Linked DNA regions of Caenorhabditis elegans. The protein of the gene in region 1 interacts with the protein of each later gene in a pairwise test. Each region holds a gene or a part of one and is shown on either strand. Other genes may lie near its edges.

What was found.
Region 2: the proteins of lfi-1 (region 1) and lin-5 interact in a two-hybrid assay, tested with the Caenorhabditis elegans proteins (one study listed by BioGRID).

What each region holds. Positions count from the first base shown.
Region 1 is NC_003284.9:4,979,222-4,984,256, forward strand, and holds the start of lfi-1 (Rootletin-like coiled-coil domain-containing protein), read left to right. Parts: upstream 1-2,018; 5' UTR 2,019-2,274; intron 2,275-4,341; 5' UTR 4,342-4,362; coding exon 4,363-4,675; intron 4,676-4,843; exon of another isoform or gene 4,844-4,845; coding exon 4,846-4,984; intron 4,985-5,035. Other genes in the region: ZC8.6 (Phosphatidylinositol 4-kinase type 2), read right to left, coding at 170-373.
Region 2 is NC_003280.10:7,858,718-7,864,236, reverse strand, and holds lin-5 (Spindle apparatus protein lin-5), read right to left. Parts: upstream 3,579-5,519; 5' UTR 3,578-3,578; coding exon 3,438-3,577; intron 3,392-3,437; coding exon 2,774-3,391; intron 2,726-2,773; coding exon 1,672-2,725; intron 1,624-1,671; coding exon 1,509-1,623; intron 1,458-1,508; coding exon 1,249-1,457; intron 1,141-1,248; coding exon 811-1,140; 3' UTR 674-810; downstream 1-673. Other genes in the region: sds-22 (Protein phosphatase 1 regulatory subunit SDS22 homolog), read right to left, coding at 4,559-4,750, 4,797-4,883, 4,930-5,158, 5,204-5,335, 5,378-5,519. UniProt on the Caenorhabditis elegans protein: Essential component of the spindle apparatus required for spindle positioning and chromosome movement. Acts to recruit or anchor gpr-1/gpr-2 complex to the spindle and cortex.

The DNA.
Region 1 (5,035 bases):
GAAAAAAAGTTTAACCGTTCACTGACACCAACCTGACAAACGCGACAAAAAAGTTTGATAAGAGCGATTGAATTTAAAGCGCAACGCCGTTTGTTTATGTCGATATGGTTTTCATATTACACAAGTTGTTCGCTTTTTCTTTCTACAATTCCAACAAAAAATTGCTCACCTTTTCCGGTAGTCCAATTCGATGAAATCGTCTTCCAATATTTGGATATCTTGATTGAATTCTCTCCTTCGTCCGTGCTTTCGCCCGGTCAATACGGTCATAGTAGAAAGTTGGAGCCGCCAGTTCAACCACCCCGGTTGGTGGTACGATTCCCAGCTTGAGCTTCTCATCCACAAGTGAAGCTCCAACTTCTGACAGGTATCCCTGCAAAAAGTAATCAGTTAGTCTTGGCTATCAAATTGTAAACATTTATGTATATCATGCATTCTATATGCTTCGGGATTTGTATGTACTTGACACCCCTCTTCCAAGTCCGCCTGTATAACCATATAACCAGCCAAATCGACACATCTACGGCAGGAAAATGGACGACGACTACACATAATTATTTCAGTAGTACGCTAAGCACTCATGCGCCAACACTACCAACAACCTAGGCCCTCCAACAACAGCAGCGCATCATCGAGTTGAATATTATTTCATCGTCCTTCTTTCCCCCGCGATGTGTTGTTCTTTCAAAGTCCATTGACCCGAAAAACCGGTAACGGCAACATACATACACATACACTTATGCCAAAGGGAATCATTACACTTCGCAAATCATTCAGTTTGTAATCCAAGAAGATCTGCGGATTTTTCGTTGTTTTGAGTAATACGTTTGAGTCATTTTCACATCAGAATGGGATAAATGTGCATCGTTACAAAATTCTTGCCACATTTTCTTCGTCGCAATTTTTGCTCTTCGACCGACTTAATTTCTAATTCGCATTCTTTGACAACCTTATTTTCGTCTCCCTTATGTGCACGTTTTCAACAACATTTTGCTCTACTAGAGAGCCTTTTTTCCCTTCATCGACACCAATTTCAATTGGCTGCCATTTCGAGAGCAGAGAAAAGTCATTGACTATGTTGTTTTCTGAGAATCGAAAATGAGTGTCGTGAAAAAATACGATGAGTGGCGGCGGTCAGCGCGGCGCAAAGGAAACCGGCGGCTCACAATTGCTTCGGACCAAGAGAGTAGCAATTATAGGAGTGAGCGAAACATTGGCAACACTGAGCGAGAGAGCAATTCTATTAAAGTCAATGGGCGAATCGGGGTGCGAACCAGCAGCACCTTTCCTAGAATAGCAACCAGAGCCAGTATTCTCTCGTCTCCTTCAATTCTTTTAGGTTTGTTCGATTTGAAAAATGCCACGAAAAATTGTTTGTTTTTGAAGACCAGATGTAATTTGGGATAAACTTTTTGTCTTAAAGGTGGATTGGCTTCAGTGGTTTAAAGCTGCTCATGTGGTGCCAAAATGCCAAAATATCATTGTAAAATAACAACATATTTCTTCTAATTTTCTACTCTAATTGGACTTTAATTATTTGTGTTTAAACATTCTAGCATACCGTAGAAACTGATTTTTTATTCAATTTGGAACTTTGCCTAAAACGTTGAAAAGGTGTTTTATTATGATATCTGATTTGTTTGAATGATTATAAAAAATTTAGATAAAATCCCCACTGACGCTATTCCACCTTTGAGGTCCTTTCAGTTGCAGTCTTCCCGTTTTTTCCAACTTTTGAAAACAATTTCCAAAACGGGCATAAAACCCCTGCAACGCCAAATCCCCGGGAAAATCTTGACAATGGTCGTTTTTTGGTGCGTGTATGTGGTCCGTGTCACTTTTTTGGACATGATGCCAGCCGGGCAAAGGACGACATGCCCATCAAACTTTCAAGCCAGTTGTCCTCCTTTTTTAGTGTGTGTCGGCTATCCTTTTTTGCAATTCTCGCCACACACACACACACACACACACCATCCAACAACAACTCTTTGAACCAAAGCAACAAACATTCTCTCCAGAAATCAATAGTGACAGGGTGCACATACACGCGCCAACCGGCGAACTCCTTTTTTGTCTTCTGGTCGCGCAAGCTTGACAAAGACATAGAATCAGCAGCGGCGGAACAACGAAAAAAGACACGTGAACGATTGAAGCAGACGAGAAGAGAAGAAGAAGAACGGCATCTGTTTAACGAGGGTAGAAACTTTCTCTTCATTGTGCTCGCAGCTCAGCCAATCACCTGCCCTTTCTATTCTTTTCTAAAACACAAATCCGGTAAGGTTTTCCTAAAATTGATTCATGGTCCCCCCAATGAATTGACATATGCATATATATCATCCAGCTTGGCAGCAGCTTATTTTCCTAACGTGAAGGTCGGCACATTTTCTCTCCCTCTTTCATTTTCTCGTTCAACGCTAGAAATAAATCGAAAGAGAATTTGAGTTCCATGTTTTAGGCGACATTCGGTCCCCTGTGAGTAGGAAAAAACATAATATGTGTTGTTTCGGCAATTTTCTTGTTCAAATGTTAGTGGGTGGAGAAGTAGATAAGGGTATTTCCATCACCTTATCAACAAAAAGCTTGTTGCGGAATCAAAGGGGGTTAAAATAACAGTTCGCCTTACTATCGCGATGTTTTTTGTTTCGAAATTCAAAAAGTGTGAAGTGAGTGTAGAGGATTATGTGTGAGACCGTCTTTCAAAACTAATGTTGTTTCCTCAAAATTTATACTTTTTTAGGGAATTAAATCTAGGAAAAAGTATACGATGTTCGTATAAGTACTCAGTCAAGCTCTACTTCCAAACAACTTCCCACTACTCATCCACCATTCTTACGCAACTTTTCAAAAAGATAGCAGCCATCATTAGGCAGTTTCCCAGAATTGAAGTGAGAAAGAGAGAGAGAGAGAGAGAGAGAGAGAGAGAGAGAGAGAGAGAGAGAGAGAGAGAGCACGGCTCAACCGCGGTCTTGTCCTTGCTGGAGCACAACGATCGGCCAACGTCGTCTTCTTCCCCTCTTCCGTATTTCGTTCTGGTCGTTTGTTGTTGTCGACAACAACACAGAGAGGGCGCCCTCCCAGATCGATGGCTCAAGCCACCAGAGTACGCGCGCCCCACTCCAAAGAAGGCGTGGCCCGTGGCGATGGGCAATGTTGATGTCGTCGTCGTCGTGCTCCACTCGCTCTTCTCCATCTCTCTGGCTCACACTCTGTTTACTTGTTTACCTCTTGCCTAGAAAGGGGAATGAAAAAAAAAGAGCAGGCCATCCGCGCGAGCCCGCTCAGCAAAAAAGTCGCAATTGTCCACCCTTCCTTCTCTTTTTTTTCCTCTTCGAAATCGGTGGAAAACTCCAAGGAAGCTCTTGTTTAAGTCATATTTACTATACTTGGTAAATAGGAAATGCAATAGTCACTAGTCACTGGAGCAATAAAATAATGTGTGCTCAATATTTTTCGAAAAACAAAAACAATTGAAGAATTTGTGTTCTCGATTGTTTTCGACACTGCCTTTTCCTCTACTAAAAATTCCTAGTAGCTAAATTTTCAACTTCAAAATTCACATGACTAGTGTACATACCTTTACTCTATTGGACTCTTCCCCCGGTTGCTATGCGACAAATAACGATTCCAGCTTACCCGCGCGCCCTCTCTCTCTCCTGCTCAATCTTCCCGCCTCATTTTTATATGTACATGTATATATTTGTCAAAAATTGGATGGGAGGGGGGGCGAACAAATGAAACATGCAAACAAAATACGTGTTTACAAGACCTCCGACCTACCGAATGCTCACACTCTTCACGACTTTCTTTTTTGAAATTCGATCTACTCAAAACATCCAGAGCGCGCATCTTTTCTCGCTTTCTAGCTCTCTCTGGCAACATGCCCTCCTCGTACACTAAGTCAAAGAAGATTTGAGATTAACTGAGATTAACTATTTCTTCAATATTTCTCCTATAATTGTGAATTTGTAAGTTCCAGTTACAAAAAATAACAAAAAATTTCAACTTCAAGTTCACTTGCGATTTCAATTTCAACATAAGTTTACCGCATTTTTTCAACATAAGTTTACCGCAGTTTTCTAAACAATCTTTTCAAGGTTTTTCGGGGCATAAGAAAAGAGCGTCGCCTTTTCTTTTTTCCATCCACCACATACTTCAATGAGGTGGAATGAAAACAGACTAGTTTCACTCTCTATTCCAACTGTTGCCATCTTCCTCGAAAAATAGAGAAAAGACGACCTCCGCGTAAACAATTTCCAAAACCTCAAGCAAGCTGCCAAGCTGCGTATTCCGGCGTCCTTATTTCGCTTTCCCCCTCAACATTGGCGGAGATAACTATTGCAGCATGCTGATGTGCTCCATTGGATGTTCTTCAGCTGTGGCGTGAATAGCAGCTCCCCAGGTCGTCAACTAGTTGTGAGCGAGTCGGTTTCGGAAGATAATCTACACAACCCATCATCACACGCGCTCCGAACCCTATCCCCGGTTTCACCACCGACAGCTAATTCTAGTAGTTCAACTAGCAGATCTTGCTCACCAGTTGTTCGTGCAGAAACTATCGTTGCTGGCAAGTGGACGCATATATCTGGAAAAGTTTCTGTTAGGCCATTGACGCCTTCTGAAACCGAATCGGTTCTTGACCGTCAACGTCAGAAAAATCGTCGATCTTCTAGAAAAGGTTTATGTGTGCTCTTGATATGTTTTCTTTATGTTTGACTGTTGCAATTTTGAGAATGCACCCGACTTGTAGATAGTTTGAGAAAAATTCAATTTTTTTTAAAATTTGAACCCTTTTTGCTCACTTTCAGTAGTTAGAAGTCTTGATTCATCTTTCTATTCCTTTTATAGACAAGCTCAAAATGTCGACTCACGACGATACTCGAAGCTCTGGTGGAGGAGACGGAACAATTCATATTCCGTCGGCAGATGCCAAGGAGCCAACTCCGGAGAGCCCAGGCTCTCGTTCCAACTACGGAGAATTCTACTGGTATGTATAAATTTATCAACTTTGCCGATGCATGCGCTTTGGCTTGGTGCA
Region 2 (5,519 bases), on another chromosome or scaffold:
ATGTGGATAATACTTTCAAATTTGGTGCCGTCCATAGAGTAAAGGTTTAGGATGTGGGGTTTATCATAACAAGCTACGCGAGGTTTATCTTACAAGCATTTATTAGTATAAAGGGACAGACGTATGGCAATGTCGCAACAAGTAAACGGGAGAAAGGAGCAATAAGACACGTAACTTATAAAAGGTTAAGAAATGATCCAGAATGAGCGATCCTCAGCTTATATATCTAGGCGTTCGGCGGTTAAAGGAGCAGCCTTTATCGACGATGGGTCTCGGCGCGGAGAATGCGACCACGGCGGCTGGGCGGCAATTCAAACGGGGACGCGTCGGCACCAGGGGTGTGCGGCGAATCGAATTTTTCGGCGATCGGCGAATTCGGCGCTCGCCGATTTTTGAAATTTTCGGCGAACGGCGAATTTCGCTCTGCGAGTTCGCCGATTCTCGTACGGTGAATTCGGCGATTTTTCGGCGAACGGCGAATTCGGCGAACGCCGATTTTCAAAATTTTCAGCTAACGGCGAACTCGGCGAATCGAAAAAATCATCGGCGAACGGCGAATTCGGCTAATATTCGCCGCACACCCCTGGTCGGCACGATGATTTGTGAAGGAAAAGGGCCTGATTCTTACAATAGAACTGCGATGAAACAATCATTTTCACAAGAACACATAAAAAATAAGAAACTTCTTCATTTCTCAGCGATCGTTAGGAAAGGAATTGTAAAATAGATAAAATAGGATACAACACGGAGCAAAACATAAAACAAAAGTGTGTTGTGAAAAAGTTATATTACAATGTATGAAAGTATATTTTACTGCTTTTTGCTCGAAAAAGCAGAAAAAATCGAATCCCGACGGTTCTTTTTCTTGGACTTCTTGATATTCTCCTCGTCTGCGGATGGCGAATTCGTACTTCCAACTTCAGAGGCGTACGAGCATTTTAGGTGTGGCTTCACTTTCTCGTTTCTGGCAGTGAGCACTCCAACTCTTTCCTTGGTTACTCCGGATGGTGTGAATGGTTGCTTGAACTCTCCAGCTGATGATGGCGATGCCAATTGGATAGATTCCGATCGCATCGACGAACGTTGAAGACTAGACCGGTCGAAGAAATCCAAAGAGCAAATTGACTCACGTCCATCGTACTGAAAATTGAACGTTCTGGACAATATTTGTGGTAAGAAATTGTCTCGTCTATATAAGAAATTGTCTCGTCTCACAAAATTGAGGTTGCATAATAATAAACTGATTACCATATTCGACTTGAATCCAATCGGTGTTCCTTTATCGAATTCGTTGTCGTCCACACTAGGAGCAATCGATTTTCTTGGGAACGTGGCAAGCTGTGCTCGCAATTCTTCTTCGGTAATTGTTGGTCCATTATCGGCGAGGAAGTCTGGCAAGCTGTCTGGCGAACCGCATCTGATTCTCGAACCTCTCATTGGAGCTTGTTGGAAGATTTCTGAAAAACAAGATTGAAAATTCAATTTCGAAACGTTAAATATGAACTCACTGATTCTCTCACCCATCCAGGTGGATTTCTTAATCTCGGCGCTTTCCTTCTCTCGAAGATCTGCAACTTCGTGCTCGAGACGTTGAATCAGATCCACTCTAGATTGAAGGAACAGCTAAAAAGTAAGTAATGTTGTATTCAATTTGATATTCAACAAGCAAACCTCTTTCTCCTCCAATTCGGCTTTATGCTTCATTACCACACTTGCGAAGTTTTCTTTAAGGGTGACTGTTTCGTTCTCTTTTTCCGCTAGAGAATTCTTGAGAATTGCCAACTTCTCGGCAAATTGAGCTGAGGCCTGATCGCGTATTGCCTTTTCATTCTTTATCAGATTGGCAGCTCGTTTGTTCTGCTCCTCTTGAAATTTGATGATATCGTCCTTACTCTTGCACGCAACTTCCAACTGCTCAATTTGTCTTTTCGCATTTTGAAGACAAGAACCCATTGACTGAAATTCTTCGTTGCTTTTATGTACAGCTTTGTCGACATTCAGGGACTTTTCATTCAGTTCATTCCAGAGATTCATCAAGCGCTTTTTCTCGTTCCTCTCTTCGTCAAGGTCAGCCTGAAGGCGTGCATTCGTGGATTTCATCATTTTCTCTCTTTCCGAGTGTTCCAAACGAAGAGCATCGATTCTGGAGTTGGCCATGCTCAACGCTTCAAGCTTTTCTTGTCGGAGTTTGTCCACAGTCTCTTCAAAACGCGCCAGTTCCTCGGAAAGCATAGTTTTAGAGTTGTCAGCATCTTGTTTGTTTCTCAATGAAGCAACACTCAACTCCTCAACACTGGCAGAAAGGCTCTCGTTTTCAGATTTCAGAGACGCTCTTATTTTTTCCACTCCGGTAAGTTGTTCCTGGAGGTCAGCCATTTGGTCCTGCGTCGCCCGAAGAGTCTCAGTAAGCTCCTGTTCCTGCTGACGGAATCTAGCGAATTCATAGTCGTTGAGATCTCGAAGCTCTCTGGCCTGCTTCATGAGCTTCCCATTGTCTTCGGTCACCGTTTTCAGCTTAGCAGTAAGATTCTCTTTCTTTATGTCAGCTTCCTCCAGACTTCTTTGCTCGGATCTCAACGTCATTCGAGATTCATTGAGTTGTTGGAGAATGTTGTGGACTTCATCCTTTTTGGCTTCGAGATCACAGCTCAATTCTTCAGCACGAAATTGTGCCTCCTCGGCGATACCTTTCAGTTTAGCGATGTCGCTTTTCAGATCGGAATTCCTAAAATATTTTCTCCATATTTTAAATTCAATGTACCATTTTACTTACGAAAGCTTCAAAGTTCTGTTCTCAGCCGATAACTTGGTCTTGTCATCTTCAAGGTCTCCTAACATTTGCTCCAAACCAAAGATTCTCGCTTTAGACTGCTTCAGCTCCCGCTCGCTTCGCATGAACTTCATGGTAGGGGAATCGACAGCCTCCGCTATAGGGCTTCGCCGAGCAGTTGAGGAAGCTGTGCGTAGTCGCCGGGCAGTAGCTGTTGGTGTTTGCAATGATGTCAAGCTGTAGTTGTTCCTTTTCGGAGTCCTGAAGCCACTGGATGCTTCCTGATCTTCGTCATCTCTCCGAAGACATGCCCACCAGTCGTCAGCGGTACTTTCCGAATACACGTTGTCGAAAAACAAAAACATATCAAGAAGCACAGCTGTGTCGACGCGATTCTCTGATGACGCTTGCTCCAATGCGCGAGTGAGCATTCCCGAGTGATCCTTTCTCATATACTCGAGAAACAGAGCGTAGAATTTGCAAATCTCCAGTGAATCTCCGCTCGCTGCAAGCTTCGGTTCCAATGAATCGGTCATGAAGCTGAGACTCGTTGTGGCGATTTTGCGGAAGATAACTTCATAGAATTTGTCAGCTGTGCCAAACTCCCGAGTGTCGCATGACCTGAAAAATAAAATATGAAATTGTTTATGAATGAGCTATTACTTACATCATACTGGCGATCATACTCCCGTGCCTCTCCCAAAGCTCGGCTAATGAGCTGATTGTCTCCGTCTTCGGTGTGAAATTGGAGCCAAAATAGTTCGTCAATTGTAGCATTGACTTCACAACTGATGTGCTCACGCTCATTCTGCAGAAGGAGTAATTATTCAAAGAAAATGCGAGTGGTTGAGCGAAAGAACGAGAGAGAACGCATACATAAACGAAGAATATTTAAAAGACGCACGCAGAATGTCTGCGTCTCTTACACCATGCTCGTACACTTTTCTCACGACACTTCTAAAAACAGCGGGAATTCAAATGACAATTTTTCCATGGACCTGCAGGTCAACATGCACAAGTCTACCAAAAAAATATTAAAAGGACGAATAATAAATAAAAATGAAGCTGTTAAAAAGTGGGATGACACACTGATTGAAATGAACATTAGAGGAATCTAACATGAAAAATAAAACCAAAAATGCGCGCGCGCGCGAAAATGGTTTCATTCTTTATTTATAAAACCATGTGAAAGATTATGTGCATGCGCCTTTTAAAAAAACCGTATACACATTGCTGAGTTTGAAATTATTTAATGAAAACAAAGAAAGAACATTCCTTTTTTAGGGGACAAAGTTAAGTGCGCCTTCCAATAAAATCTTTATTTTCACAACAAAAAATCTTACAGTAGCTTTCATTTCATATATGTTTAATACTTTTCGAGGAAACTTCTTGATTGTTCTCAAAAGAAAAGCTCTGTAATTGACACACTTTAAGTTTTCAGGCATGGAAAGTTGGTTTTGGTTCATATTTATTTAGCGAGAAGAATAAATAATTTCTTCTTAAAATCTCACCGCACCGTCTAAAAACTACTGCATTATTCTCAAAGTATGAAACCTTTTTCAAACTCTTGATTAGTCGTTTTTTTTTTAAATTTTCATTAGCTGATAATATCTGGCCATTTCGATTGGCTTCGCCCATATGGAGGTCGATTATGATTCATTTGCGATTCCTCTTAATAACCTTACACTTTGTTCTCAATATCAAACAATGAAGCAAACTGATACATATTTATGAAAGATTATCATGGATAAGAAAAGCAAACGGATATTTATTGGAAGCGTCCGAGAGTTATTCAATTGGCTTTCTGCACGTAGTAGCATCAATTTGAGTTACTTGGGTGAGGGTCATCATAACTTTTCTGCGATATTGGTTTGTATCATTGAAATAGAACGGGTTTCTCTCCAAGTATACAGTTTGAAGACCCTTTAACTTTGAAAGTTGCTCAATTTCGGAGAAGCTTTCCACTTTGTTGTCGTTTGCCTGCAATAATAAAAGATATAGAAGAAACGTAAAATGTCTCGGTTACCCAGAAATCATTAAGACTTTCTAGTCTTTCAACGCCACTGAACGTTTTGATTTCGTTATTTGCAACATCCAAAAGAAGTAAATTAGTCTGCAAAAAAGACCCATTTCTCAGTGTATTTTGAATTGCTTTTTACCAGAGGTTCGACGCCATGAATATCTTGTAGACCCTGATCACTGAGGTAAAGTTCCTTCAGATTATTCAGTTGCTCAACATTTTCAATTTTCACAATACGATTTCCCGGCAAGCTGAGAACACTGAGCTTCTGCAAGGTCTCCACTCCCTCCAACTGACGAATTTTATTTTTGCCGATAAATAATTCATCCAAATTTACAAGGTGACCAATGTTCTCGATTTTCTTGATTCTGAACACAATTTGTGATTTTGATGTTGAAACATTCCATATTTACCGATTATCTCCCAGTTCGAGCAGTTTGAGCTGCGTCAAAGCTTCTAAATTTTCGATTTTTTCAATTTTATTGCTGACAAGGTAAAGAGTCTCGAGCTTTGTCAATTTATCCAAGCCGTTGATTTGGCGTATTCTGAAAGTTATTATTGAAATAAAAGTTTCTTAAATTCTTCACCTGTTATAGCTCAGATCAAGAGAAACCAAATTTACGAGTGATTCGAGATGCGAAATTTCGGTCAACTGATTTTCGTACAAATCCAGGGATGTCAAAGTAACTAACGAAGAAATTGTGGGGCTAATTGAAACCAGAAGATTAT